Linked DNA regions of Astyanax mexicanus. The protein of the gene in region 4 interacts with the protein of the main gene of each other region in a pairwise test. Links are inferred from orthologs where the notes say so. Each region holds a gene or a part of one and is shown on either strand. Other genes may lie near its edges. The genes, in order: rorb, roraa, retinoic acid receptor beta and psmc5.

Evidence for each region.
Region 1: the proteins of psmc5 (region 4) and rorb interact in binary tests that used the Homo sapiens proteins (3 or more experiments, as listed by UniProt). The link is inferred for Astyanax mexicanus from reciprocal best matches to the Homo sapiens genes PSMC5 and RORB.
Region 2: the proteins of psmc5 (region 4) and roraa interact in a two-hybrid assay, tested with the Homo sapiens proteins (3 studies listed by BioGRID and IntAct). The link is inferred for Astyanax mexicanus from reciprocal best matches to the Homo sapiens genes PSMC5 and RORA.
Region 3: the proteins of psmc5 (region 4) and retinoic acid receptor beta interact in binary tests that used the Homo sapiens proteins (3 or more experiments, as listed by UniProt). The link is inferred for Astyanax mexicanus from reciprocal best matches to the Homo sapiens genes PSMC5 and RARB.

Annotation. Positions count from the first base shown.
Region 1 is NC_064429.1:7,764,084-7,772,047, forward strand, and holds the start of rorb (nuclear receptor ROR-beta), read right to left. Parts: upstream 3,012-7,964; 5' UTR 2,642-3,011; coding exon 2,635-2,641; intron 1-2,634. UniProt on the Homo sapiens protein: Nuclear receptor that binds DNA as a monomer to ROR response elements (RORE) containing a single core motif half-site 5'-AGGTCA-3' preceded by a short A-T-rich sequence.
Region 2 is NC_064409.1:56,481,396-56,489,230, reverse strand, and holds the start of roraa (nuclear receptor ROR-alpha A), read right to left. Parts: upstream 3,004-7,835; 5' UTR 2,794-3,003; coding exon 2,634-2,793; intron 1-2,633. UniProt on the Homo sapiens protein: Nuclear receptor that binds DNA as a monomer to ROR response elements (RORE) containing a single core motif half-site 5'-AGGTCA-3' preceded by a short A-T-rich sequence.
Region 3 is NC_064410.1:607,446-615,198, reverse strand, and holds the start of retinoic acid receptor beta, read right to left. Parts: upstream 3,011-7,753; 5' UTR 2,285-3,010; coding exon 2,125-2,284; intron 1-2,124. UniProt on the Homo sapiens protein: Receptor for retinoic acid. Retinoic acid receptors bind as heterodimers to their target response elements in response to their ligands, all-trans or 9-cis retinoic acid, and regulate gene expression in various biological processes.
Region 4 is NC_064422.1:21,903,912-21,911,121, forward strand, and holds the start of psmc5 (26S proteasome regulatory subunit 8), read right to left. Parts: upstream 3,017-7,210; 5' UTR 2,910-3,016; coding exon 2,886-2,909; intron 2,181-2,885; coding exon 2,109-2,180; intron 1,081-2,108; coding exon 1,011-1,080; intron 792-1,010; coding exon 694-791; intron 587-693; coding exon 530-586; intron 1-529.

The DNA.
Region 1 (7,964 bases), on a different chromosome or scaffold from region 4:
CCCTATAAAACTGCATAGGGGTCAAAAAAACCCTCCAAATCTTTGAGATCAGTCATGAACCAAGTTTAAGCCCACTACAGCTGCTGCTTTAACTTCATACTTTTATTTTTATTTTATTCCTTCTTTTATAAATCCTCATTTTATTTTACTTCTATTCCCAGTTAAACCAAACTGTGCTTACTTTTATGAATCTGGGTTTGGGAATCTAATATTTTTTATAGGCGGGTATTTTTAATCATAAACATAGTCTGTGAGACCTTAAAATTAGTACTTTTTAGTCTTCTTCATCATCATATTTTAGACTAAATATGTTTTTAAATTTTAAATTAATCATTAACTGTTATGATATAAGATTTGGTTAAGCCAAGAGCTGCAAAGCAGTAACATTGCACCTTAAAGTACTACAATAAAGCATGTTTCAGTCACAAACTTCAGTCTGTGAGGCTAAATGAGGTTACTTCTCAATCACAAAATAAAATTCTGGGTCAAACAAGGTCAGTTTTGTTTCCAACCAAAGATAGAAAGAAGGTTTTACAAATAAAATGAGCCAATGGGGTTAAACAATATATTAATTTTGTATCCTATAAAACAAAAAGTAAATAGAGAGATCATTACACTTTATCCACATAATGAGTTTTAGACAAACAAGACATATTTTAGTCACCAAGTACAATTTTAAAAATAAATTTAGCCAAAATAACCTATAGCCTATTAGACGTTAATATACATTTAAGTCACAAAAATATTTTATGATTAATTTTGCTCACAAAGAGTGTGTGAGGCCTAAACAAAACTATTAGTTTGTGAGGACAAACAACATAACTTTTAAAAAGAGTCTGTGAGGCTAAGCATTGGAATATTTTTTATAACAAAATGACTCTGTGGAATCCAAAAAAAAAAATAATTTACTGATAAAATGAGTCTGAGCCATAAACAAAGTCTGTGTGGCTAAAAATTTACTTTTAAACTATACCGTTGGTTTGTAGAGATACACTACTTTTTAACCTTAAAAACGAATCTGTTTGGAATTAGTAACTTTTTACATATTGCTTTTATTTTTATTTTATTTTGAACAAATATGTTTGTGGTGTCAGTTGTAATCTGGTTAAGCTGTGTCATAAAATGTGAGGAAGCGAATGCATTTTACCCACAAAATGGTTAGAGTCTATGATGCGAACAAGCTAGTTTTTACAAAACTTTTTAAAAATTATAACATAGCATTTCTTTTACTAATGCATTTTTAAACATTCCTTCAGACTGTGACTTTATTTGTAGTTTTAATTTAGTTTGACTTCTAGCCGATAAATAAGCTATTCTCTGGACTTTTTTATTTATTTAATACAATTCAAAAACTGCCATCATCACTGCCATTTCCAAACAAGCTAGACTAGCTAGCTTTATTGTTAATTATTTCTCTTGTTTTGTTAAGTGCTTTAAATACAAGGAGCGTGAGTTATAGGCTACTTGCATCAAAATGTATTATTTTTAAGTAAAAAATTTCGTTCAGACATGAAACGAATGTAAGAACATATACACACACAGTTCTGTACAACAGTTTCACGCGTTAATTTGGAGGCTAAATAAAATAACTGCCCTATATAATCGGTCGGACTCGGTGGTCGTCCCCCGCGCGCTGCACTTCAGCGCAGTGGGCGCGAAGTGGCGCCTGACTGACGGAAATGGGTCAGTGGAGCGGACGGAGTAGCGCGCGCCTCGTACCGACCCGAGACCCCACATTAACAACGCCCGATCCCTAAAGTTGTTCGTCCACGCGGGGTCTTTTCCTTTCTTTTTATTTATTTGTTTTTTTTTTACCGACTCCACTGCACTCCATGCACGCACTACGCGGGGCTGTAACGCAAGAAATCGAGCGCAATAAAAGCAAAACGCACGTGAACGTCAGCATGCGCGCGTGCATTTCTCAGGTTGGATTTCGCCACCGCGAGGAGGTCAAACTCCACCGCTGGTTCACGGTTGCATAAGCTTGCATGCTTGCGAAGCTTTTAACGCGAGCACCAGCGCATGCACGCGGGGGTACGGAGCGCACCTAGGGGGGCGCGCTGCTTCTGCTTCAGAGTTCAGTTCGCGAGCGATGTGTATGTCTGTGTGTGCTTGTTTTTTTACGGTGTTTCCTGCACCTGTAGTGCTACTACATACAGTCTATTGTGGAGTTGATTATAAAGAAAAAAATAGAAAAAATAATGTTCAGTCTGGCTGATACAAAAGAGAAAATACCGAATAATTCGACCTCGAATAACAACTAATTTAACTAAAAGTCAAATACTGTATATATACTGTGCTTCAACGGTATGAATTCAATAAATTAGGTTCAATACATATTTGTAAACTGTTGTTTGGTAATTGCTTTCACTTTACACAAAAATACAAAAAAATGTATTCAGGATATTTCAGAATAAAATTTATGCAATGGTGAAAAAGTGGTAGAATTAATCAAAACCTTTTTTAGTATTCAGTATTCGGCATTTAGCTAAATGTTACTTTTTTGTTCATCCACAGTCTCATCTCAACCCATCCAGAGACCCCAAACCCACCCTTTTGCAACCGGACTGACCGGCCAGGGAGAGTCTTTTTTAATTATTTAAATCAGCCTGTCAGAAACAGTCGTGCTCCTACCTCGCATGGTGGTGTCGGCGGCGACTCGCTCCCAGTCATGAAGAGACGAAACGAACCCAAACAAGGGGTTTTAAAAAAACAACGACAATAAACAACAACAAAAACAACAACAACAGCCGCAGAGCTGCACCGACAACCGCAAGATCCCCGGCAACAAACAACAACAACCGAAAAAAAGTAGTTCTGTTTCTGTTCTGCTTCTGATTTGTTCTGCTCTGTGTGTTTTGTTTGGTCCTCTCTCGTCACGGCCCAAGCGACAGGTTCGCGCGCGTGAGCATCCCCGTTAAACTCGGCGCGAGCGTGCGGACTCTCACGCGACCTGAACGGGCTCAGCGAACCCACGGAGGTTTTCACCGCTCGCGCGGGGCTCCGCGAGTTGGGAGGTGCGCACGAGAGACCCATAGGAGCTCCGATTGGACGATAGAGCTCGACCACGCCCACTTTGCACGAGCCCGAGCTGGGGGGTCTCCGTGCGCGTTGTACAGAACCGAGGCTCCGCCCACTCACTGATGAGAGGCTGTGGTTTGTGGAGAGTTGGAGGAGAGAATGTAGAATATAATAATAAATAACAAAATATAACTTTTATATCATCGCATTATTGCTCTTTTATATTGCACTGGAATGTATACATTTAGCATTTAGCTTCTCTTGCTATCTCTCTCAAATATTGCAAAGAAAACAAGTTCATATTCATAAAGTTTTAAGAGTTCAGAAATAAAATCTGGTAGAATAATCATGGTTCTTAAGCACAGTTTTCATACAACTTGGCATGTTCTCCTCCACCAGTCTTACACACTGCTTTTGGATAACTTTATGCTGATTTACTCCTGGTGCAACAATTAAAGCAGTTCAGTTTGGTTTGATGGCTTGTGATCATCCATCTTCCTCTTGATTATGTTCCACAGGTTTTCAATTTGGTAAAATCAAAGAAATTAATAATTTTAAGTGCTTTCTTATTTTTATTTCCAGAGCTGTATATCCTTAGACCCCTACTCCAACTGCAACAAACAAATGCTTATTTACATGCTCATGAATAATAATGAGAAGCTTAAGAAAATGTTTGGTTGTTTTTGAGTTACATGCTTATCACATAAAATAACATGCTTATTATATATCTACAAGTTTTATTTTTAAAATCTAAATCAAACAAAAATTATAATTTAATAATATTTTGACTTTTATTGTTCTGTAGGGTTTATAAATTTAGTTCCTGGGATTATAACTGTTATTATAATCAGCTGCGATTCCTCATTGGTTGTCAGTCTTTTAGCTTATTCATAGATTCAGATTCCCCCGTTTGTTACAAAGAGCATAACGTTTCTAACTTATTGATTTATGTGATTTTACATCACATTCTGCTTGTCTACCTGTAATAATCACCACTTTGCATGCTCATTAGTAATACTTAAAAGATTACACACTCATTATATATAATAGCATGCTTATTACATTGTTATTACAAGCGTTATTAGAATATTTTAAACATGTATACATTCTCACAATATTACTGCATTTTGAGTTTATTAAGTTTAGCTTTTTAGATTATAACTGTTATTATAATTAGATGAGAGGGGGATTTTAAGCTAATTCCTATTATATAAATGAATAAGCATGTTATTTGCAGAAAATGAGAAATGGCTGAAATAAGAATAAAGATGCAGAGCTTTCAGACCTCAAATAATGCAAAGACACAAGTTCATATTCATAAAGTTTTAAGAGTTCAGAAATTAATATTTGGTGGAATAATCCTGGTTTTTAATCACAGTTTTCATGCATCTTGGCATCATGTTCTCCTCCTCCACCAGTCTTACACACTGCTTTTGGATAACTTTATGCTGCTTTACTCCTGGTGCAAAAATTCAAGCAGTTCAGTTTGGTTTGATGGCTTGTGATCTTATATCTTCCTTTTGATTATATTCCAGAGGTTTTAAATTTGGTAAAATCAAAGAAAAAGTGCTCTCTTATTTGCTGTATATGTACATGTATATATATATATATATATTAAGATGAAATAGATGGAGAGAAGGTCTGGAGTGAATGTGAAGAGCAGCAGAGGCTGAGGAAGCAAAGGCTGTGCAGGCAAACCATGCACGGCATCCTCCACCTCATGACCCACTAACCCTTTTGGGTCAGATTTGAGTTCACTTGCCGCTGGATCCCAGATAGAGCTACTTCCCTTCTTCCTTAGGGAACTCCTTCAGAAAAAGTCAATTATAAACCAGATTGAGCAGCAGTTACATATCTCTATTGTGTATCATCTGCACAGTGATTACTACCTATAAACTACTGTACAGTATACACACAGTTTTGGAAAAAATAAGAGAGCACTTAAAAATGATGAGTTTCTTTGATTTTACCAAATTGAAAACCTCTGAAAAAAAACTGCTCGAATTTTTGCACCAGGAGTAAAGCAGCATTAAGTTATCCAAAAGCAGTGTGTAAGACTGGTGGAGGAGAACATGATGCCCAGATGCATGAAAACTGATTAAAAAACACCAGGGTTATTCCACCAAATGTTGATTTCTGAACTCTTAAAACTTTATGAATATGAACTTGTTTTCTTTGCATTATTTGAGGTCTGAAAGCTCTGCATCTTTTTGTTATTAATATAAATATTTTTTGTGTGTCTATATGTGTGTGTGTGTGTTTGGGTGATGTTTTTCACCATTTTTTACTAAATCCTTGAATCACGAAAACTTAAATGTAAAATAATGTAAAGAATGAATGTAAGATTATCACAGTGGGATTTTATTAATATTTAATCATGCTTGTTTAATTGTATCTTTTTTAACTTTGAACACAGATTGTTCGTTGTGAATTGTGTTCAAGAACCACTTACATTTTCAAAAAAGTCAACTTCAATGTAAAATACAAAAAACGAACAAGTAGCAAATCTTATTAAAGATCAGAATCAATATTAAATATTATTTTCTCTGTAGAAATGATTCCGTTTACTCCCCATCTCAGTTACCGAGATTGTTCTCTGTGTCAGTTTAACAAAAAATTCAGGTCTTGTCCTATTTTGTGTCTCATGATTCTGTCTCTGTGATTTTTCCTGCCCTAATATTTGTTTATTTACTCACCTTTACAAATGCCCTGTGTTTATCCTATGTCTCCGCCCCTGTCTTTGGTGTGCTTACTTTTTCATTTTTAGCTCCGCCCCCTTGTTACCTGGTCATACATGTTTCCTTTTTACTGTCCTCGTTCGTTTATATTTATAGTCCCCTTTTTTCTGTGTTCCTCATCCTTGGTTGTACGTTTTTGTTTTAGTTTTAATTTTTTAGTTTGTTTATTCCTGTGTTTTTAATATATACTCGCAAGTGCATACGCTCTCCTCATTTCTGTCATGCTCCCTACCTGACATTTAATTTATTGTTTTATTTTTATTTTCACTTTTTAAAAGGTTCTGCATTGTAGATTAATACTAAAGTCATCCAAACTGTGAAGAAAAACATATGAAATTATTTAAAACAAACAAAATATGTTTTATATTTTACATTCTTCAAAGTAGCACCTCTTAGTTATAAGACAGCTCTGAATATCTCTGTTGGATTTTCTCAGTCAGCTTTATGAGGTAGAATCACTTATAATTCAGGCTTTCAGTTAACAGCTGTGCTGAACTCATCAAGAGTTAATTACTAGAATTTCTTGTCTCTTAATAAAGTGTTTGAGAGCATCAGTTGTAAAGTAGTAGTTACAGGTATACAGTGAATAGATAATATTTGATTTATGTTCTAATACATATTGTGAGAGGCAGGAACTACTCAAAAACTAAATAAAAAAATACTTTAAGAAAGAATGAATATCAGTCAATCCAAAATATTTCAAGAACTTTGAAAGTATCCTCAAGTGCAGTCACTGCAAAGACCATCAAAACGTTTTGAGTAAACTGACTACATCATCAGGACTGGGATGAGATCATGTAGGGTGAAAAAATAAATAAATAAAATGAATGAAAATGTGGATGCTATAAACCACCAAATGCTGAGCTAACAGCCAATCAGCAGGCTGCCCATCCACTAATCGATCACCCTGCTGCTCACTGATTAGCCAATCAGAGGACAAATGAATAACTTCTGAATAAATTAATTCCATATGGGGGAGCTGTCCCTGTTAGAGCTCATGTTGTTAATGTTGTTACTTGCTAGTTAAGTTTTACAAATTCCTAATGTAAAAAATGGGGAAATTCAAGCAAGAATTCTAGTCTTGTATGTTCTAGGTGAAAACATACTCTATACTGGTAATATATATGATTAGCCAACTCTTTATTAGTTTACGCTCTATCCGGATGGGATTAGTTTCTCAGGGGGACGACTGTGAAAAATATTTAACACTTCTCCTCAGTGATAAAAACTCTTACATTCGGACTGCAATTGAAAAAACAGGAGAACAAGTGAGTTTTTTTTATTGTCTTTCTCGGTCACATGACATTGCGGCGTTCAGTAGCTCCTCCATTTCCACTCGCTGTTGTGTTTTTTACGTGGATCTCCGTGGAAACGCCCATGCGCTCAAAGTGTAAATACAGTGTGCGGCAGTGGACAAATAGCTCTTTTATTAAACACGAGGAGACGAAACTCAGAGATGTGTCCGGACGGGACTAAAATTACCGGAGGAGCACTGAGTTCAGCAAAAAACTGTAGATAATTCAGCTTGTAATTTTCTCAGAGGACGTTTGAAAAGTGGGGCTTCCTGATTAGCATGCCGACCCTCCACTGCCCTCAGCACAACCAGCAAGCTGATTGGTGCGTCTTTATTCAGGAACACCAATTGGGGGATGAGCGTCACAAGAAATCCTATTCATATTTCAGTCAGTGGCTGGTCTCTTCATTAATAACAGGTATTATAACACATCTGCACGTTGAGAAAAAGCGATGCTAAAATAATATATTATGCAGCCCTAGAAGGTCTTTTAAAAAGTGAAAACATTTAGAGACCTCTCTGGTAAGAATGTCTTATTGCACAGAAGCATGTGGATTAGTAATTTTAATGCAGATTAATGTAAATAAATTACTCTGTGAAATTCTGTGTTTTTTAGATTTAAAAAAAATATATAATATATTGCCATAGTTGTTATTGGGATGGTTGTGCCAACAAGTTCATATTCATAAAATTCATAAAATTCGGAGAGAGTTCAGAAATCAATATTTGGTGGAATAACCAAGGTTTTTAATCATAGTTTTCATGCATCTTGGCATCATATTCTCTTCCACCGGTCTTACACACTGCTTTTGGATAACTTTATGCCTTTACTCCTGGTGCAAAAATTCAAGCAGTTCAGTTTGGTTTGATGGCTTTTGATCATCCGTCTTATTCCATTATACTTGATTATA
Region 2 (7,835 bases), on a different chromosome or scaffold from region 4:
GTTGCCCCTTGATTTCACATGAAACATTTCGAAGTGCAATATTATTATGATAACTTCAAATGACTGAAACGTTTAGAGAACCCTGCATTAACATTCCCATAAACTTTACATTGTAAAACTTTAAAATCAGGTGTCACTTTAAAATAAGGCTCCTTTATAAAGGGTTTATAAATAGTCTATGAGAAAGTTTATCAATAGTTAGTTTAAAAATACTTTATTAATCATTCATAATAAGTTACAGCACATAAAACATATCATACTTTGTTTTTCCTTTCTTCAATCAGCATTAACATATCTAATAAAATAATAATATGGAAAGTCGGTTTAGTTATTTAATGTTATTTTATGCTATTAAACACAGTGTTATGATTATTGGACAAATTATTAATCTGGGTCATTAAAGTTAATAACAGATATGGTAATGTTGACGGATGGAAAAGACAAAGTAAGATAAGCATCTGCATCTAGTAAGATATTAAGTTTAACCGTATAAATGAATGTGAAATCACTATTTGGCAAACAACAGGCCACTGTTGCCCTTCTATGTGTTGTTATAGCTTATTAATAGTTTATAACCTAATTTATATACCATAAACAAACTCATTTATAAATTATTTATAAAACCTTTATAAAAGAGCTTTATTTTAAAGTGGTACCATAAAACCTTTAGAGAAAGTTATGTTTGGCTGTCCTCTGGTTCCCCAGGAAAGTTTTCTTTACAGAAATGCCAAATTTCTTTACAGGACGTTTGGCTTGGAAACATTCCCCTAATGTTTCCTTAAAATATTTGAATCATTTTTTAAAGAACTTTGCAGGTTGCCCCTTCTGATTTAAATTTTTCTTTTAATTGAAATATAACGTTAGGTTGTGTGGCATAGTTCTGGGAACGTTTTCCTAACATTTCAGAAAACGTGCCTTCTCTTCTACATTAGAAACCTTACAAAAATTATCTTGCATTTGGATGGGATTTGAACATGTTAAATATGTTTATAAAAGTTGCAAGAACGTTCAGAACATGTAAGATAACAATCTTATAATATTATGTATGTAATGCACGGTGCAAAAAAAAACTAGCTCAGGTGCTTGTTTTATGCTTCTATCTTTTTGGACCATAAGGAAACTTTTTGAAAATGTTGCTTAAAAGTTAATCTTATACACATGATACAAAAAACATTAAGGCAACTTTTAAATTAAGTTCTGGATAAGGTTTAATATTGTCTTATAATTTAAGGAACATCTATGACTTTTCAGACTTTTTTTTTTTTCGAAAATAAAACGTTGCCATAACCTTATGATATATTATGGTTCCCCATTAATGATCTAACGTTATTGGTTTTATAAAGTGCGAGCTGCACGAGCCCCCAAAAGTTTCAGCCCCTCGCACTTTTTTTTACCTCTTGTGTGCTAACCCCGTGCTAACGTACAAACCCATTATTTGTTTTCCGCCGAACTTGGACGAGTTAGCCAAGTTGAATGGAGGATGCCGACTGGGGGGAGTGGCTAAACGAGCCTCTCTACTGTCTCTACTGTAAAACACACTCTCACACTGCCTGCTCGTAATGCTGTAATGCTGGGCTTCATGATGATATAATGCCGACCACCGCCAAAACCACCACGAACAGGGCTGTGGTCCGGCCACAACCAACCAGTGACACACACACACACACATGCATATTCATCCTGCTGTGCTGCTTTCTTGCATGCATGCTTGTTTTTGACGTTTTCCCACGTTAGCGTGGAGTGTCCGCGCGGCGCACGAGCCCGAAATGAGAAGGAGAGCGAGAGAGCGCGTGCACCGACACGCCGAGCTCCACTGACAGCAGCGGCAGCAAGCAGCAAACGTGAAAAATGCACAGTTGCACAGTCGTACACACACCCCAGCACCCCGTGTGTGTGTGTGCAAAGAAACACAGAGACACACTCGATATATGACACTCCAAGTTATGGAGCTATCTGCTAGTGCTGTGAGTGAAATATTGTTGTCATCATAGACTGAATTAGTTATGCGATTGGGGGAATAAAAACTGCCCAGCGAACTTGTATTGGAATAAATCAGTGCTGCCATATATCTAAACCCGTGCTAGCTACCCTACTACGTTACTACTTTTAATAAAGCACGACTGTGTCTGTACGCTCTGATCTGATCTGAGCTGAGAACTCGATAACGAGGGGCCGTTTGAGTCATTAAATCAAAAAAGTCATTAATCAGTGGTGCCCATAGACAGTGTCACAGCCAGCCCAGCCAGTCACCCAGCCTGCCACAGTGCTCAGAGCTGCCTATGTGCCTGCCTGCCTGCCTGCCTGCCTGCTCGTCTGTCTGTCAGCCGCGGTTACGCGAGCAGCAGAAGCAGCAGAGGCAGCCCAACTCCACACTATATTAGCCAGCTAGCTACAATTAAACGTGCTTTTATACACGGTGGAGCATACAGCGTGGCGTGCACGAGCTCTCTAAAACGTGGGAGAACGTGTCTGTGAAATATAAAGCGCTAAACACCCATCTGAGGCGCAGCTCCTCCACGATTTTAAGTTGATTCACTTTGAAGTTTGATGCATCCCTCAGTGTTGAGGCGAATCGATGGCTCGCGCCGCTGATTCTGACTCTACACTACACTAAACTCGCTGGCCTCTCTTACCTCTATTGGTGCTGGAGCAGCTCTGTCTCCTGACCGGGGGGGCTTGGTGGTGCTCAGCTTTGCGGAGAGTCTCCAGGTTTACCGGGGTTTCCCTGACCGGGGTAGCCGACTCTGAGGCGCTGTTGCCCGGGTCGCTGGTTGGATCTGGAGGGGACTCCATGTTGTATCTCGGATTTCTCTGCCTTCTCCTCCTCTTCTGTCTTCCAGTGGATCACGGAGCGTCGCGGCGAGATTTTAGTCGAGCTAAGAGGACTTCGCCTAGCCGTGTAAATTTAGAGCAGAACTAAGAAATGTTCAAAAAAAAAACGCGAGTGTAGCCAGAGGTGGGTGTGTAGGTCTGATTGTCCACTGGCAGCGCTAGTGAGAGCTCCAGTCAGACAACTGAGAAAAGGGAGAGGTTGTCAATAGTCGATGAATGGATGTGGAGCGGTGGAGGAGCCCTCTCTCTCACACACGCTGAACGATGCCTCCCTCTTTCATGTCCTTATTTCTTTTATTAGACTATTGTGCTTCACAGATAATGATAATGTCTGCATGCTCTTTGCGTCTCACACTCTCAGTAGCAGGCACGTGCAGGAAGGAAATTAGCAACCTACAAAACAATCATACGATGTAATAGTAAGTAAATAGAATGTCTCTCTCTAAATGTATTTGTTTTTATTTGGGATCATGTTAAGAATTATATTTGAAGTATAAAAAAATTATATAAAATTTATAAGCCCAAACTCAGAGTAATATTAATGTTGACATTGCTATTTCACTACCCATCCGATTTATATACAGCTCTGGAAAAAAAAATAAGAGACCACTTTAGTTTCTGAATCAGCTCTGAATTTACTATTTATAGGTATATGTAAAATGAATATTTTTGTTTTATCCTATAAACTACAGACAACATTTCTCCTGAATTCTCCCAAATAAAAGATTGTCCTTTAGAGCATTTATTTGCAGAAAATTAGAAATGGCTGAAATAACAAAAAAGACGCAGAGCTTTCAGAACTCAAATAACGCACAGAAAACAAGTTCATATTCATAAAGTTTTACGTGTTCAGAAATCAATATCTGGTGGAATAACCCAGGTTTTTAATTACAGTTTTATGCATCTTAGCATATTATCCTCCACCAGTCTCACACACTGCTTTTGGATAACTTTATGCCACTCCTGGTGCAAAGCTTAAAGCAGTTTAGCTTGGCTTGATGGCTTGTGATCATCCATCTTCCTCTTGATTATATTCCAGAGGTTTTCAATTTGGTAAAATCAAAGAAACTCATCATTTTTAAGTGGTCTCTTTTTTTTCCAGAACTAATATTATTAATATTAATTATTGCTAATAATTAATAGCTTTTCTACACACTGTTTTCTCCCTAGATTTTTTTCAAATTATATATTATAGAAAAAAAGTACATTACACATAATAAAAAATACTTTGGTGTCTGTATTCACTAAAATGTGTACTATGTTGTTTGCTGCCCGGACCTGCAGGATATGCTTCTTGCTCTGAATATTGTGATTTCTGCCAGATTTGCTTGTCTGTTTGCAGGTATAATTGTAGCCAGACACGGCCGATCACCATCATCACCACACACTGCACTGTCCACTGTGAGTGGTAATGCCCTCCATATCAATAGCACTCACAATTGGGCCTTACTTCAACTTTGATATTTTATGTCCCCTTGCCATGAGAACACTGACCATTCACTTTTTGGTCAAACATTTGCTATCCCGAGACTTTTGGCAGGTTACTGTGTACATGCCTAAAACAAAGCTGGGCTATGCCCAATTGGAAGTCTTGGCTTCTCCAATGTATGTCAAGTTTACAGAATTTATGAGCCCAATCCCAAGCTAATGTTAAGACAGTAATATTACTATTTCACTGCTAATCAGGTATATATAATATTATTGCAGCCATAGTGTGCACCATCATTCTTGTAAAATCTGAACTTTCCACAAAGCAATAAAACACTGAAAATGCTAAGTACTAAAGGTTAAGCAGCACCTTACATAATGTAATATGTCTAATGTTATTTAAATTATTATTTTATTTTCTACAGACTAGCCATTTAACCTATATTTAACTAGCTAGCCAAAGCATTAGAGTGCATTAGTTAGCTAGCTATCTTGCTAATTTTAACATTAAAAGTTAGCTATTTGCTAACTTTATAGCATGTAGCTTGTCATGTTATATGTCATAGTATGTAGTGTCTAATGTTATTACTAAGAACTGTTTGAATTACTCATTAAATTAGACTTGACTGTGTTCTTTTTTGTCAGATGGATTGGATACCCAAAGCAACACTAACTTTTGGCAATTTTGGCTTTAACAATGATCTGTATTTCAACTATACAGCATGAAACAAAGCTAAAATATACTATATTATGAGCAAAATCCAAAAAACCCTTCACTGTCTCTGTAAAATGTAAAATTTCTCAAGCCTGCACTCTCCTCTGAGCACTGAGGGTTGCTGGAGGGCAGCTTTATCTGTCTCCCTCAGTAGATTAAACTGGTCTAGATTAGCACGGACTCCGCCAGCTGATCAAAACACTGCCTAGCTAAATTCACTCTCTACATATTTGGGGGTGTATTAATGATTTTTAAAGACAGAAAGCAGACATAGCAGCAGCGAAAGCTGTTGGTTCGGTTATGGTGTTGCTTCTCTTTCCCCAAAACTCCACATCCTCGTCGACTTGGCGCTTTCAAAGCCCACGTGCGCAGTCGTGTAGGGGGCGGGGCCCTGGCGGAGCCCGCGCGCCGAGCTCCGCCCCCTCACAGCAGAGCACGTGGACTTTGGCATGGTCGGCCGTCAGCCAGTTAACCTTTAAGCGACACACTTCAGAGAAAGGAGCAGTTACCTGTAAAAGCTCTGCAAATACAGACACCCAGCTCCACTCACATTCTCCTGAACAGGTGGCCCTAATGGTGGCAATCACCTGCAGACTGTTATCACTATTAGGAAGCAATAGAAGCAGTGGAGCCAAACATTGCAAAGCATGTAGTCAAGCTATTTGACTTGAAGGGTGTGGAGTGTATTAGTTTATGATAGGCCACTTTACATCACCATAGTCTTTCTCTAATAAGTAGTCAAGCAATGCATGGAGAGCTAGACAGTGTTTAACATATACATTTACATCATAGCCCTGGAAAACATGACTGCGGTCACACACACACACAATAGGGCCAAGCCAATAGGTTCACATTTGAACAAAGTCAAAGATTACTGACTGCTTGTCACATGGCCTATCACAGGGCACTGTAATAAGGAGTGACCTCTAGTGATCCCTGCCTAAAGGAAAGGCAGTTTTCCCCTTCTAATCAGATTCAGCATCGTTCATATAGGCCCTGTATTGTATTAGTGTGCAGCCACTACAAATCAGGCCTTTCTAAAACAGAAATGCTTTGATCTGCATTTAGCTATTAATCTTATGTAATACATTTTATATAATATTATTACAAATCTGCAGATTAGCCCAGATTATCATTTTAATAAAAAATAAATAAATCTTAATTTAATTGTATTACATTTTAATCTAATTTATAGTATTGCTTAAATAAAAACACCAGAAAAATAAATTGTGTAGGTTACTTTATTCCCTAGCACATGAGTTATTTTATTGCATACCACTTCTCATCATTTAGATTTTTTTTGTTATTTAGTTACTTATATTTCTGTATTCATGAAGGCACCTAAGATAAAACAATATTATACAACATTACGAAGCCATTTCTCATAATTACCACAAGCAGTAAAACCTCTCTAAGTAAGCTACCGATGTGTGTCATAATATGTGTACCTATTTTATAATTATGTAATTCTGCATTAGTATAATTTGACTATTTTTCAAGTAAAGTATATACAATTCAAGAAAAAGCTAAGGCTCCCAATTACTGCAATTTTCACAGCTAATGCACCTTTGCAGCTCCAGCACTGAAAATCAACTAGTTTGGTCCTACGTCGGCTGTTTCTTGCCTCTCTTCAAGGCTTGGTTGACACTGCGTACACACTGATGATAGCCCCCAGCCAAATAAAATTGAGATCTAACTTCAAACCACCGAAAGACATCAAGGGCTCTCTTTCATACCAGCATCTGCAACTACCTTATTTTCATAATAAGAAATCAAGTTTGACATGCAAAATACATTTTTTATTTTTCTCCTTTTTTTTTTACTAGAGGGAGAAAGCAATTACTTATTATACCTTGCCATGTGAGATGACAGTGGGTGCAATTCTACTTGCAGATATTTAAGTGAGCCTCTAAAAAGATGAAAATACAGAGAAAGAAAATGTAGTTTTGATGGCATTGCAGCATTCAGAAACTGATGCCATGTGTATGAATTACACAGTCTACACATTTTTTAATTATTATAGACTGTATGTGGTACAGTCTCTAGTCTAGAGATGTCTATTGTATTAAATATATTGGAATATACTGTTCATTTCCTGAAATAAAAGTACCAAAAAGCCATAAAATTACTATTTTTGGTTTTCTGTATATGTCTATAGAGAACTATATTTGTAAACAAGATGTAAATGAGAATGTGAAGAATCATTTAAATAGAACACATACTGTAAAGGTTCTAAAATAACCTTATATGTAATTGTTTCCTCTAGGCACAAATTGTGGTTCTTCTATGGTACTCTTCAAAGAATAATGCACCGTAGAGAAGTCAAATTAAAAAAACATGTAAAAGAATAACAGTAAAAATGGAAATAAAAACTAAAATAAGAATAAAGCATAATTGATTCAAACATGATTAAAACAAAGAGAAGTAAAATTAAAAACATCTAAAAGAACAACAAAGAATTGGAAATAAAAATAAAATAGGAATAAAACTTGAAGCTTGAAGTACCTTTGACATTTAATCATTTTTTTTCTTCTAGAAAGCTTAACTACGTGTTTTAGGGCAACACATTGCATTATTTCTTCTTTAAGTTAAGTGAACTTACATGAGCTTACAGTGTCTACAGGAACTTTACAGATATTTGCTTTTCATTGTAATGATCATAATAGACAGTGACAAAGCAAATGCTACGTATCTGCTCTCTCATCTTGTATGGGTGATTTGCATGAGGTCATTTGTTGCCAAACAACAAAGCATACATGCATGTTATGATTAACAAATCATTCTTGCAGTACTGCTGATGTTCCTGCATGTCTTGTTGTCTCTGTATGAGGCATATGTTTATGTCTATGACCAGCCTGTC
Region 3 (7,753 bases), on a different chromosome or scaffold from region 4:
ACAGTGAACTGAGTGCAGCTGTAATGCTGCATACAGTATTATTAAACAAGGATTCTTACAAGTAAATAAAACAAGTGACAACTATAAAACTTCTAAACTAAAAGTACAATTCGTATGAGTTTCTTTGATTTTACCAAATTGAAAACCTCTGGAATATAATCAAGAGGAAGATGGATGATCACAAACCATCAAACCACCAAACTGAACTGCTTGAAATTTTGCACCAGGAGTAAAGCAGCATAAAGTTATCCAAAAGCAGTGTGTAAGACTGGTGGAGGAGAACATGATGCCAAGATGCATGAAAAAACTAAAACTGTGATTAAAAACCATCAGGGTTATTGCACCAAATACTATAGTTTATAGAATAAAACAACAATGTTCATTTTACTCAAATATAAACCTATAAATAGCAAAATCAGAGAAACTGATTCAGAAACTGAAGTGCTCTCTTCATTTTTTTTCCAGAGCTGTATATGTTATATATGGCTACATGATATAATGCTGTCGTGTATACATAGATAAAAACAAGTTGTGACTACGATGTAATGTTCTTATTATTAAGCATGTCATGTAAAAAATATCTAATCTAATAAACAAAATAGAAATGTATGCATGTAATCCGTTTGCAATATATTTAAATTAGGGATGCACAGAATTTTTGAGAACTCGAAATATTCAGTTATTTCCGCATTTGATATAATGAACAAAATCAAACAGTGACTATATTATTATATTATATTATGTCATATTGCATTTTTTCCCTAATATGTTTATTTTCAACAGGCCCCCTTCTCTGGTGGTGTTGCATACAAGAAAGCTGCTACACACAGTGCCAGTAGGGAGTGTGGGAGAGAGCTGGCACAGAGCTGATAAACAGCAGGTTTAAGTTCATTTTTCCAGTTAATAAAATGAAATGATATAAAGTCTTCAGCATCGTTATTAAATTTAGAATCTGTTTACACACAGTGTATTACCCCTTCACAAAGTGTATTTTATTCATCTAAAAAGTTAAGCTTGCACGAGCTTTTACAGGACCAGGGTAGTAGTGTTTAGCTGAGCAGTAGTGCAGTTAACATAGCCCTAGAATTAGCTTGTTTACCTTGTTAAAACTCACTTCTGAGTTACTGTTGCTTTTTTGTGCTTTCAATATTGCTTTAACGTACTGTAGCACTGTCAAATTCTGCTGTGCAGAACATTGTGGCACATAGAGAAATGGATCGGTGCTCACAGAAAAAAATGAAATAAAAAATCACATGCATGCAAACAGTGACTGAGTGCTGCGGGCTTTAATTTACAATGTGAATGTCCTTTTAAATTTCTTTTTTATTTATTTTTTTATTTATTTAACTTCTAAATCTACCCTCACGTTACCTAGTTTAACCTCATCTCTCTCTCTCTCTTTTCTCTCCTCTCCCTTCTACATTCCTTGTTTTGTATCCTGATTTTTAAAAAAGCCCTCTTTGTTTTCTGAGTGTTTTGTTATTAGGATTTAATGACATGTAATATGTTTAATTCTAAAGCAGTGGAAGCAATAGGCTTACATTTTATATTGTACATTTCTTGTACTTTTAAAATGTATGTGTTTAGATTTTTTGTTATAAATGTTTAGTGTTAAATAAAAAAAAAACATTTTTAAAAGAGTAGTTTTATCATTCCGTTTACTTTAAATAAGAAAAATATACAAAAAATTTAAACGATTCAAAATTAAAGTTAATTAATTTAAAATTCAAAATTAATTTTAAAAACTATTAATTTTTAGAAACACAGTAATTCTTTCTATATTCGCACCAATATATGTTTTTGAGATTGTTGCATCCCTATTCTGCCCTATACTAAATGTATGCACAATCTTCAAATAACTGTCACCGCTGCATATGTGCACGCATTAATTAATTGGCCGCGGCGCGCGTGCGTGCGCCAATTAATGAACTCATGTCATGTCAACACGCAGCAATGTCATAGAAAGAAGCGAGCGTCATATCAGCAATCAAGCAAGGTCACGAGCGGTCCGACCAACAACACTAAAAACAAAAAAATAAAGTGTGTGTGTGTACGAGTGTGTGTGAGACAGGGACAAGAAGAGACATAGAGAAAGTGGAGAAAGTGTAAAGGACTTGACCGTACAGTGCGCGCCGCCGCGCCGGTGATGCCAGTCTGCGCGCGCGAGCCCTCGGAAGCACGCCTTCAGCGCCTGCTCCTGCAGCATGCACGAGGACGGGGGCGGAGGGTACAGGTCCAGCATCTGGCCCGGGCTCACCGCGAGCACGTCCATGCAGTCGAACATACCGGGGTCCACTCTGTGTCCCACCTCCTCCCAGAACCAGCAGAACCACCAGAACCAGAACCAGAACCAGGAGCAACAAAAACAACAACACCAGCACGCACGAGCACCAGCTTTGTAATTCACGCGCGCGACTACCGGACCTACTCCCGGTCCAAACTGTCCCCCAACTCCATCCAAGTCCTTGTTCTTGTTTTTCTCCGGTGCTTCTTTTCCAACTCACGAGCTGGACCTTTTAGCACGCGCGCTCCCTCTAAAAGCCGATGCGCGAGCGCGTGTCATCCTCTGTTTTTGCTTTAAAACAAGCACAGAAACAAGCGAATTCAACATCAAACTCTTTTCTCCTCTTTTCCTTCATTTACAAAATCACGTCTCCGAGCCTAAAAGATGACGAATGGGCTCATCCTGCCTCCGCGCGAGCTCTGTTTCCTACCAGTACGGTGTCGCGCGCGCGCGGAGTGAGGGATTGAATCGCCTAATGTATGCGGCTGAACTTTCCGTGAACCCCTCCGAGGCGGCTACCCTTCAAATGACCCCAGCGCTCTGACATCATCACCGAGTCCCGGGATTCTCACGCACAGAGAGAGAGCGCGAGCGCTGCGGAGCCACACCCGCATTCCGGCACGCCACGCCTCCTGCGTGCTCCCATTGGCTGGAGCGTTCGCGCCTACTGCAGTAGGATTGGATGGAATGACTAAAATCGCAAAACTCAGAGTCGCTGCCGGCCACTCGCAGCGATTATGGGCGGGGATTTGTGGTGACGAGGGCGTGGTTTGGCGATGAGGGGGCGTGGTTTGTATGAAGACGGGTGGAAAACAAAATAACACAGAATAAAGAGATAGAGAGAGAGAGAGAAGAAAAACACAACACTCGATGATAGCCTAGTTTTTTTGTTGTTTTTTTGTTGAAGAAAAAAAAAGCTTCAAAAACACTTAAGATATTTTTTCGGAATATTTTTTACAAATAAAATATTTAAATATATTTATATATTTTTTGGTTTCTTCACCAATGGGACATGTTTTTTTACGCGCCTAGACAGTCTGAAAATATGAGGGCAGTATAAAAAAGAAAACAAAAGCAGGAAAAAAACAACCCACCCTTCTCTGTGATCTTTTTGGGTGTAAACAAGGTTTTTATTTTTGTGAAAGGCTCCCATACATTTTCTTCACCGTTTCTAGAATGTCTAACTCTTGTGTAATAATAATAATTCAGGGTTTCTGCATATATTTTACATTCAAATTAAATGAAATTTAATGGCCTTATTTTCCTTCCTGTTCATTCTCTCTCTCTTTCTTAAGGCAATTTAAATGTAGTAAATGTATCTAAAATATCTACAAATATCTAATACTATGTAATTTATAAACACAATTTGCTCTACTATATTTATCAATCAAAACAATCCAACACCAGAATGAATCAGGTATAAAAAAAATACACTTAAAAACACTAAAACACTAAAAAAAAAAATCCTTAAGATTTTTTAAGAATATTAAAAGCTTGAGAAAGAAACACTAACAGGAACCAATAATCTAATGAATTAAGATTTAAAAGCAAGAAACTCTTAGAAAATTATGAAGAAACACAGTGAAGGAAAAAAATAAAAAGTTATTAAGAAAGGTAAGAAAAAAAAATAGTGCACGTAACAGAAATACTGATAAGACCCAAGACCCAAAATTTTACTTCTAAAAAGCATAAGGATGTAATCCAGATTTTTAAATGCATTACAATAAAAAAGTGAAACAGACATATTAAAAACTATAAAATACATTACAAACACATTGCCACAACTGCAAACAACCGTACCTGTTCAGACCTTCACACACACACACACACACACACACAAACACACACGCACACAATTCTATACAGAATATATCTGATGTTTGAAGTATTTAGAATATTAAAAACGATAAAAAAACCTTTAAAACCGCATTAAAAATACTTCATATAAAACTGACCAGCCCCCAAATTAGACCTTTAGCCTATGTTCACACTGACAGACTAAAATGCCTGAAATCACATTTTCTTTACCTTAAAATGACACAGATCTCCTTACACATGGCTTTGTTTTGTTTTCCTACCCCATGTGCTCTGCCCTGTCTCTGCTCTAGCCCCACCCCTAGTCATTACTGTTGTTGCCTTGTGTCTTGTTTTTAACCCCGCCCCCTCGTTACAGGTCCCAGGTGTTCCTCACCCTCCTTGTGTACTGAAGCCTCTTTGTTTTTTAACCAAACATAGTATTCAAACACATAACATACAAAGCTACAACACATACCCCATTCACACATTTGCTATTTAAACAGCACAATTATAACAAGATGACAAAAATAATAATAGCAATAAAAATAATAATAATAAAATAAAATTCATGGTGCTATTGTCAGCATCAACATCAAACACTTTGACAACATACATTAATCTTCAAATAGTTTAATGAATAGTTTAATGGATCCTCTTCCATAAAACGCCTAAATTGACCCCAGATCTCCCTTAAAATCTCCCTAAATTGACGTGACTTCTTAATTGCAAATGTTAATTTCAACCACTGACCTAATGTGGGTGCCGACATACTTTTTCATTTACAAGAGATCCAATTTTGATAACTTTGTTGCATGGTCTTAGATTGTATATATATATATATATATATATATATATATATATATATATATATATATATATATATATATATATATACATATATGATTAGTGGGCATGCAACATGATTAAATGTGTACATCAGATCAGATTTCATGCATCTTAGAAACAGGTCACTTAGATTTATGAATGTGAAACATCCAGATCTAATCCGAGTAAAGATATGTGAATTGATTAATGAGGCTTGTAATGTGAACAAGCCTCGTCTTGTCTCTCTTTAGTAACAGAGGGGGTCTGGAATCGCTCCATGACTCTCCAAACACCGCATTAGCTCCCGCTCCGGCCGCTCGCTTGTCCCTCTTCCAACTCACACAACTTTATACCCAGAGCTGCGGCGCTGCTTAATCCACCAAATTTAGAAACCAATTTCGCAGCTACCGGAGTCGCTTAGGATATAAATGATGTTCCTGAAGCTGAGCAAGACTTTAATCTTTAATCTTCACTGCTTACGAGTGCACATGTGTAGCTGCCTATGCCTATGTGTGTGTGTGTGTGTGTGTGTGTGTGTGTGTGTGTTCTGCTAGACAAGAGGAAGAGTTTTAGAAGTTTTGGTTGGTTTGGATTAGTGCTCTAAAGCCCATCCTGCACCAATAAACGCTAAATATGTAATAAAAGGAAGGAAGATACAACAGAAAATTTACATTAAATTTGAACTGTGTTCCAAAACTGCAGCACAAACTCGACTTTTAAGGGTTAAAACCTCACCCTGACCTGAATTCTGTTCAGACAGTACTCTGTGGTGTGAATGGTGTAGCTGGAGGAATGTGACCGCACACACTCATGACTGTAGTGCAGATAAAACAGAAGACAGATAAGGAGGGAAGTCTATTCAGTTCACTCTTTATTCTACTGAAGTGCAGCAGTATATATGGAGTGTGTCATTTCTGTAATCGTAGCCTAAAGGAACGTCTGGCCGGCTGCATGTTCTCGTGCGCGGCTGTGTGTTATTGGCTGGATAGTGTGAAATTAAAAGCAATTTAAACACGTGAATCAAACTGGCTTTTAAAGTCATGGTAAAAAGTAGAAACGCTGCAGAGGCTTAACTACAGTAACGTCCAGGAGTTATAAGAAGGCATAAAAACATACCATTCACCTACATGCAAAAAGGCTCTGTGTAAATTGTGAGATTATGAGGTACATGTAGTGTAAACTACTGAAAGACACTCGCTGAGCCGTCGCTGACTGACCTCTGATCAGTCGAAGACACAGCAAAAATTTGGCATGCTAGATATCTGACCCAGTCGGCGACTGGGAGCCAGGAGCAGCGGCCAACCTACAGCTAATGAGTGAGTCCTCTATGAATAGAGCTGAATGGAGCTAAAAAAGCCAAAAATGGTGGCTAACTACAAAATATTCTTCTGAGTATTCCTTTACATTTAGAAAGTAGAATAATGAATGTTTCTTAACAAAGCAAATAAACCATTATTCCATTATTCTACAACATTCAGGGTTTAGTCAGTAGAGATGCTATCAATACTGCAATATGAGCTGATTGGTTGGTGAACTAGAGCCTTTAGAGTTTAAAAGGCTTTGAAATTCTGTTTGCAGTGTTGAAACATTTGATATAGTTCTGTGTTTAGGATATAAGTACATGTTTTAGTATAAAATTGATCAGACATTTATAAATTTATATGAAACCGTTCATGTTGGACTCACTTTAAGTGCGTATTCTCCTCTCTATAGAGATTTTCTAGCATAGCATCGATAGTTCTCGAGTGTGTTTAGTTCTGGTGTGTTCTGGTCGTGATGAAACGTGTTTTTGGAGAGCAGTCAGGTGAGTTGGAGATTTCTCACAGTGTAAAATCGTGTAATTTGTGGCTTTGTGTCATCAATCAGTTCTTTCCTGTAAAAAAAAAAGTCTCAACACCGCAATGACTCTCGATTACAGCACAAAAAGTTTACAGTATGTACCCCTGTACAGAGAGTAGTGCTATTCCAGGTACAGCATTTTCATAAACAGTAAATATGCTTGAGAAATCAATCCTACGCTTTAATACTGAAGCAGATTCATTTCTGTGAGTAATATTTTGAAAGGCTGGGGTGCTGATCGTCAGTGCAGGCGGTGTATAATATCTCCAGGCATGTTGAAAAGAAAACATCCATGCTAATTGATGATGATTTAGTTTCCATTCTTCTCTGAGCACCATTACGTTCTGCAGCACCGTGTTTCTCAGAGGCGAGCTCGGTTTCGAGGCGAGATCGATCCTCCGCTGCTTTATGAATAATGGAGAGACTCGACAGAGGAGCTGAAAAGAAAACCCCGATCCCTCCTCCCTCCACTGCACACGGTCCCTGACCCCCCGCGGCCCCCGCGCTGTAACTCTAGCCCTCCTCATCGCCCTCTTCTGCAGACGCTCTCTCCCCTCCGCAGCTCAGCCTTCAGCCCCGCCAGGTAATGGATCCACCTGGAAATCCACCTGTAATTAGAAAGTGATAATGAACCGCTCCATCAAGATAAGCCACTTTTTGGCATCGCTGCTCAGCGTCTCCGTGTGTCGCGTGCCAAGACTCACTCGAGCGAGACGCCAGACAGCTCCTGATCATTTAATAAAGTCGGACGAGACCTGACGTCACGGGAGGGACAGCACCGACACAACACAGCGAGATTTAGACAAGATTTAACTGATTTAGAATAGAAAATTTGACCAATCTACAGTATACAACACAGCAGGGGTCTGGCCAGATATTTTCCATTATGTGGCCACAAAAAAAAAATCTGTTTTGGAAAATAAAGTATAATGAGGTGTAATGGGATTTAGTGCTACACACTAGTAGCTCTCCAGCCCAGAGGTTTGTTGAACCCAACTGCAGAACAGT
Region 4 (7,210 bases):
AATTATCACTTAGAGTTATACTGTCTACAAAACAGTTCTGAGGATTAAGCATTTAAATAATATTAAATGTTCAGCATCTCTAATTTCCTGGCAGCTTCAGAAAAGCAAGAATCATTACAAATCACTATCATCTTATCATTAAGAATAGCCTTAATATTCCTTTTTAATTTAATCCAGTTTTATTTGTATTATCCTGTAAAAAGACATTAACCTTTTCTCCTGTGGACTAATGTATTTTCTACCTTTTAGTTTGTACAAATAACATCAAATGTCTGAATGTTAATTTGATAATGTGCATTTTTAATAAACGTAATAAAATGGATTTTATGTCTTTTTTTACCAACCTGCAATAATAATTTACAGGTAAACAACAAAAGGGAACTGATGTCATTATTTATAGTGACATTAGTTTAAACTAATCACCAGCCAGGATTTCATGCAAAAATCTTCACCAAGCCTGCTGGAATAACCCCGTTACAGCAAAAATTTAAAGAAGTGAGGCTGGTCCAAATTAAAGAGCTGGACTTACATCATTAATGTCAATGTTTTTGTCCACATCCACCACAAACTTGCCCTCAGGATGAACCTAAACACCCAACAGTACAATAGAATATTACTTAAAAAGCAGTTTCATATAGGCATGAATAAGACAAATAAAAAAGTTGGGTGGTAAGAGAGATTAGCATAACACACCTTTACTAGGACCTTCTTCTTGTCCATAGCTCGGACCACCTCGCCTACATAGGAGCCCTGCTCCTGCAGCAGCTGCAGTTCCTCCCGCAAGAGACGCACTGAATAAAAAACAACAACACAGGCTTCATTCACTGCATTCACAAACATTAAACTTAGACAAAGTTGGAGTTCATGTGAAAATATATGTTTCAAGCAATAACAGGGTCAGGTTAGAAACAGGTTTTCAATTGCACTGTCCTTCATTATATCTGATACAGGATTTCGCATCACCATTAGTTTTAACGGCTACTCAGACAGGGTAACAGTGTTTGTTTTACCTTTGGCATTTAGCTCGTTCCTCTGGGCCTGCAGACGTCTGAGATTCTGGCTTTTTTCATTCACTGTCAACTACAGAAACAACAAAATATGAATAATTGTTTTTTGACAAAACTGATTAGTGTACTAATGGGTGTGCTCTCTTTTTAACAATGTCACAATGACAAGACTTTGGAAGTTTTTTTGTACTTTTTTTTTAGGAATCAGGAAGGTCAGCGTGTTTTCATTAACAATAAGTGATGAGGAGAACGTGACTGAGTGGCAGAGAAGTTTCAATGCTGTTCTGGGACCAGTGTAAATAAACTAGGAGACAACAAGATATCCAAATGAAGCGCTGGGAACCTCTCCTCAGATATCCAGCTTATGCATGTTCTACACGGCATAAAGTTGCATTCAGGCCAGAAGAGCTTTCCATCCTCTCTTTTCCTCCGTTTCATCTTCAGAGACTATAGAACACTTGAGGATTGTTTGATCTGTATTTGATACACAAGGATTGTTTGCTGTGTTCATAAAAGACAGAGTTAAACAACAAAACATAAAACTTGATGGTAAAACATCAAATTATAGCAGAAGAATTTAAATATTATAGACACTTTAAAACTTCCACATTAAAGGGGTGCTAAAAATGTGTTTAAAAAAAATTATGAAGTGGCATAATATTTAGCAATAAATATTATTTATGAATTATATGTACTAATTAAGGAATATTCAATTAACCAACCACCACACAAACAAATAAAGGGAAAAAAGAGCAAAACGTACATTATATGTAACGAAGCAATGAAAAAAATATATAAATGAAATGCCTTGTTACAAACAACAATAAATGTCATTTTCATTTTGTCCAGTGTGTCTCTTTCAGGTTATTTTAAAGTTAATGTAAAGGTTAATGTTAGTTTAGGTTTAAAAGAGCCCTGCCATAACAGTGAGACAGCAGAAACCTCACAACAAGCACACACCTCACAAACAATTAAAGTTGTTTTTTTTTTTTTTTTTTGAGGGATTTGATGCACTAGTAATGATGCAGCAAATTAGTTTACATATTTTCACAAATGCAAATCTGGAGGGTCAAACGTATAGCTAAAGATCTTTATCCTTACCTGTAACTCTTCTATTTTAGACAGATAATACTGCCGGAGGCCTGAGCCACCTTTACTTTCCTCCAACTCCATCTGACGGGCAGAAAACAACAGAAATAGAGACATTTAGGAACAGAAGGAGAAGAATAGCAGGATTAATTCATGAATCCACACAGTTATCCGGGTGATAGGTAGGGTTAAACTCAGGGCTAGGGTCAGAAATCTGACTTAGTTAACCAAGCTAAAATAGAGAACATACGAATATAACAACCTATAGCCGAGGCAGCAAAATAAGAACCAATAATGAAAAAAGAAAATACATGATATTTAAAGGCAGTGTAAAAAGTAAAATACATTAAACATGATCGTTAATTTACTAGCACTGTATTAGCAGTTCTTAACTCACCAATTCACACACACCAGATATAAACCTCGACTTTTCTAGGAGACCTGTTTGTTTAACGACTGTCCGGCGTCTTAGTTGTTAAGTTATAATAATAAAATAATAAGAGAAAGCAGTAGATTATATAATAATTAACATACTGGAGAAGCTGCTCATCTGTTAGCACGCGAGGAGCTAGCTGACCACCATTCATTTCAACGTTAGCGTTAGCATACCAGCTAACAATGAGACAGCAAAGCAGCGCCTCGGCTCACAGCGCGAACAGTCTGAGGACTAATTCTCTCCGTATTAACAGTTCTACACAGTAAATACATATATTAAAAACGATACAAGCCACAAACAGCTATCCGCATCATAAACAGGAGATTTATTTAATTACACTCAGAAACACTTACATGGTCGAGTCCGTCCAGCGCCATTTTCAGCGCAGCGCGCAGTGGCTGTCTGTTTTGTAGAAACTCGACAGCGCCCTCCAGCGGAGCCCTCCGCCGCTTCAGCCCGGTCCCTCACTGCTGTATCCCTAAAGAGATAGACAGTAATAAACAGCTCTGGATAAAAATAAAGAGACCACTTTAGTTTCTAAATCAGTTTCTCTGATTTTGCTCTTTATAGGTGTATGTTTGAGTAAAATTAACATTGTTGTTTTATTCTATAAACTACGGAAAACATTTCTCCAAAATTTCAAATAAAAATACTGTAATTTAGAGCATTCATTTGCAGAAAATGAGAAATGGCTGAAATAACAAAAAAGATGCAAAGCTTTCAGACTTCAAATAATGCAAAGAAACCAAGTTCAGAAATCAATATCTGATTGAATAACCCTTTTTAAATCACAGTTATCACGCATCTTGGCATGTTCTCCTCCACCAATCTTACACACTGCTTTTGGATAACTTTATGCCACGCAATCCAAGCAAATTAGCTTGGTTTGATTGCTTGTGATCGTTCATTTTCCTCTTGATTATATTTCAGAGGTTTTCAATTTGGGCAAATCAAAGAAACTCATAATTTTTAAGTGTTCTCTTATTTTTTCAGTGCTGTATGTGTCACAAAGTTCTTTACCTTCACTTTAACTCATATAGTAACTCAAGTGACACATCCTGAGAGCATCACCGCAGCAGTGTGTAAATCTGTCTTCATTGATTTCACCTCATTTACAGAATATAGAAGTGCTGGGTCCACCAACACAGTACTGAAACTCTGTACTACCACACACACAGTGCTAGAACTTTTTAAAATGGACATGCACTACACATCCCATACCTATATTATCTATTTTCGGTACTTGCTGTAATTTTTGGGAAGGAGGGTAACGCAATTTCAATTCTCTGTATGTCCTGTACATATGCAGTATTGACAATAAAACTACTTGACTTGACTTGAATGAAATAAATAAAATAAATTACAAAAATGATGGAATGAGACCTTTAAGCAAGTGTTCCTCGATCCTGGTCTGGTGCCCCACTGCCCTGCAAATACGCTTCCAGGAGGGGCCCAGGGTTTAGGGTAAGAACTGGGACAGGCGTTGTGCCGAAATCCGACTCCCCGCAGAATCCGACTCCCCTTCGCGGGCTTCACTTTTGGTGTCTTATCTTTCCTTGTACAGTAAACATTACATACTAAAGGCTTTATTGGGGGTTGTATAATTTTGGCAGTAGAGTATGTCCTGTGATGGATTTTACTCTATCTTTAATAGGGGGGCTTCTAATGGAGGGAGGATAATTTTGGCAGCATAATATTTTTATGCCTGCCGAAATTAACCCCCACCCCCTATGATATCAGCTCTGCAGGGTTCTAAATTTCATGTAATTTATTTTACATACATGTCCTGGTGTGTAGAGTATGTCGTGTGATGCATTTCACTCTATCTTTAATAGGGGGGCTTCTAATGGGGGAGTATAATTTTGACAGCATCATTTTTATGCCTGCCGAAATCATACTCCCCCATTAGAAGCCCCCCGTTAAAGATAGAGTGAAATCCATCACAGGACATACTCTCCACACCAGGACATGTATGTTAAATAAATTACAGGACATTGAGACCTTGCATTGCTGAGATCATAGGGGGAGTATGATTTCGGCAGGCATAAAAATGATGCTGCCAAAATTATACTCCCCCATTGGAAGCCCCTTTGTTAAAGATAGAGTGAAATGCATCACAGGACATACTCTACACACCAGGACATGTATGTAAAATACATTACAGGACATTGAGACCTTGCAGTGCTGAGATCATAGGGGGAGTATGATTTCGGCAGGCATAAAAATAATGCTGCCAAAATGATACTCCCCCCATTAGAAGCCCCCCTATTAAAGATAGAGTGAAATGCATCACAGGACATACTCTACACACCAGGACATGTATGTAAAATGAATTACATGACATTTAGAACCCTGCAGAGCTGAGATCATAGGGGGTGGGGGTTAATTTCGGCAGGCATAAAAATATTATGCTGCCAAAATACTCCCCCCATTAGAAGCCCCCCTATTAAAGATAAAATAAAGTAAAATCCATCACAGGACATACTCTACTGCCAAAATTATACAACCTCCAATAAAGCCTTTAGTATGTAATGTTTACTGTACAAGGAAAGATAAGACACCAAAAGTGAATCATTCATATGTTAATGCAAAAGATGAACATCATTTTAACAAGTTATCCTTGTGAATGTGAAAGCTACTAGCATTTCAACACAAATCTATTTATATAAATCTGCTACTATCATTTTTAGGTTCAGGCGACTTTATTATGCAGTAAAGTGTGAACTAAAATAAAATAAAAAAAGTCAGCGTATAGTGCAATGACACACCGTCGGCTGTGTTTTCACTTCACAGTTGTGGATTAAAACAGTGTTTAATATGTAAAACTCATCCTTATGACTAAAAAGCATGCTGCGAGAAACATTGTGTATAGTTCCTTATATTAAACTGTCCTGGTTTACCCAAACTAATCACAATGAGAGTCCTCATTTGGCTTTTGATTACACTGTGCTGTTTGATGTGAAGGAAAATGAAAGATAAAGCTTAATTAACACACAGAAGTGACCAAAATCGCGAGTCTCTTAGTTGCGCCCACAAGTTAACGTCATGCGCGCGCCCGCGAAGGGGAGTCGGATTCTGCGGGGAGTCGGATTTTTAAACAGTACATAGGTGTATTCTGTGCTACTTTCTGCACCTGACCCTGGTACAAATAAGTACACTGTATGTTTCCTAGTTATAGCATGCACCGAATTGTGACCATAATGGATGGTTCGGTACAAACACACGCACTGTTACGTCCTGATTCATAACATACTTTTTTTAAGCTAGGCCCAAGTTTAAGTTTACAGCATGTCTACATTACACCTGCATGCCTCAACAGCCATGCGACTTTGTTCAAGCCTGCCCTTCTGTAAACAGTCTCTCAGGCCACGCCCAGCAGGCCAGCACTCCAGGAGGAAGCTGGAAGCTGAGACCAAAGACAGGTATTACCAGACTGGCCTGTTTGGTCAGAAACGAGCACCAGAAAGAGCCGCAGGAGAGCTTCTGCCCTTTATTGTTAACACTGTTATTGATTCTCTCCACAAGACAGCAGTTATGTGGACACTGTACTAAACTCCAGCAGCTTGCATCCCTCAGCCTCACTGGTTTTATATAATGACTGTATATACAGTCTTAAGGTATACATCTTACAAAGATGTGCATTATATAAATAAAGGTACTCGGTCACCTGCTCCTTTATTGTTTCTGCTGAAATAAGAGTTTATCCTATTTTGTAGGATACTTTCATTACTGTCTAGAAAAAAAATCTACCAGATTTGAAGCATTACTGTGAGAATTTGATTACATTCAGTGGCAAAAGTGTTAGTGAGATCAGGGTGAAAAATAATAATGAAAAGTAGTCCTCACACTTTTTTGTCCAGCTTGCTCTCTGGAGAAATCCATGGCTGCATTCTAAACATACACTTGTACACTTTATTTTACACATTAATTAACACATTTCTAATGATAATAGATTTTTTAATACACTGTTTAGTGTGATAGTGTGCAGTTTGGGCCACAGCACCTGTTTTCACCTGTTTTAAATCTTTGCAATGTGTCAATGCACATTATGTGAATTATCATACTTCCCGTCATCCCGACCTAATTAAAATTACACAAAACAAAGTTTTTGTGTGGGCAGACAATTTTATTGTACAAAAACACAACAGCCCTGTAAAAAAGTAGAAAAGTAGCATTTGATTGATATAAAAACTACAAAATAGAACATGCAATTATTTTCATTGTCTTACAAAAAAATGTTTAACCCCACTCAGCTGATTATAAAAAGTACAAGAGCATGTTGAAACTTCTCGACAATGGCACCTATCTCAATACTAGCAGTAAAAAAATGTTTATATAACAATAATCTCACAGGTCGGGTTTTAAAAGTACACGCAAAAACAAATGTAATAATGACCAAGTGCACGTGTCATTAAAAACAAAAACAACCTGAAGAGCTAATCTCTTTAACAATCATTTACTACAGCAGTGGCTTCACTGCTGTATGGAATGTAAAAAGCACAAGATGTTCTAAGCACTGAGTAGACTTATACTTTTACCTGTAAAGACAAGTCAGAGATATGGCTTTAATCTACATCAATTCAATAGAATAGTTTAAAATAGTAAATCAAATTTGCACAGTGTAAACCTTTTCCTAAATAATGTAATCAGCCAAGTTGTGTTCAGTGTAAGTTGGCAG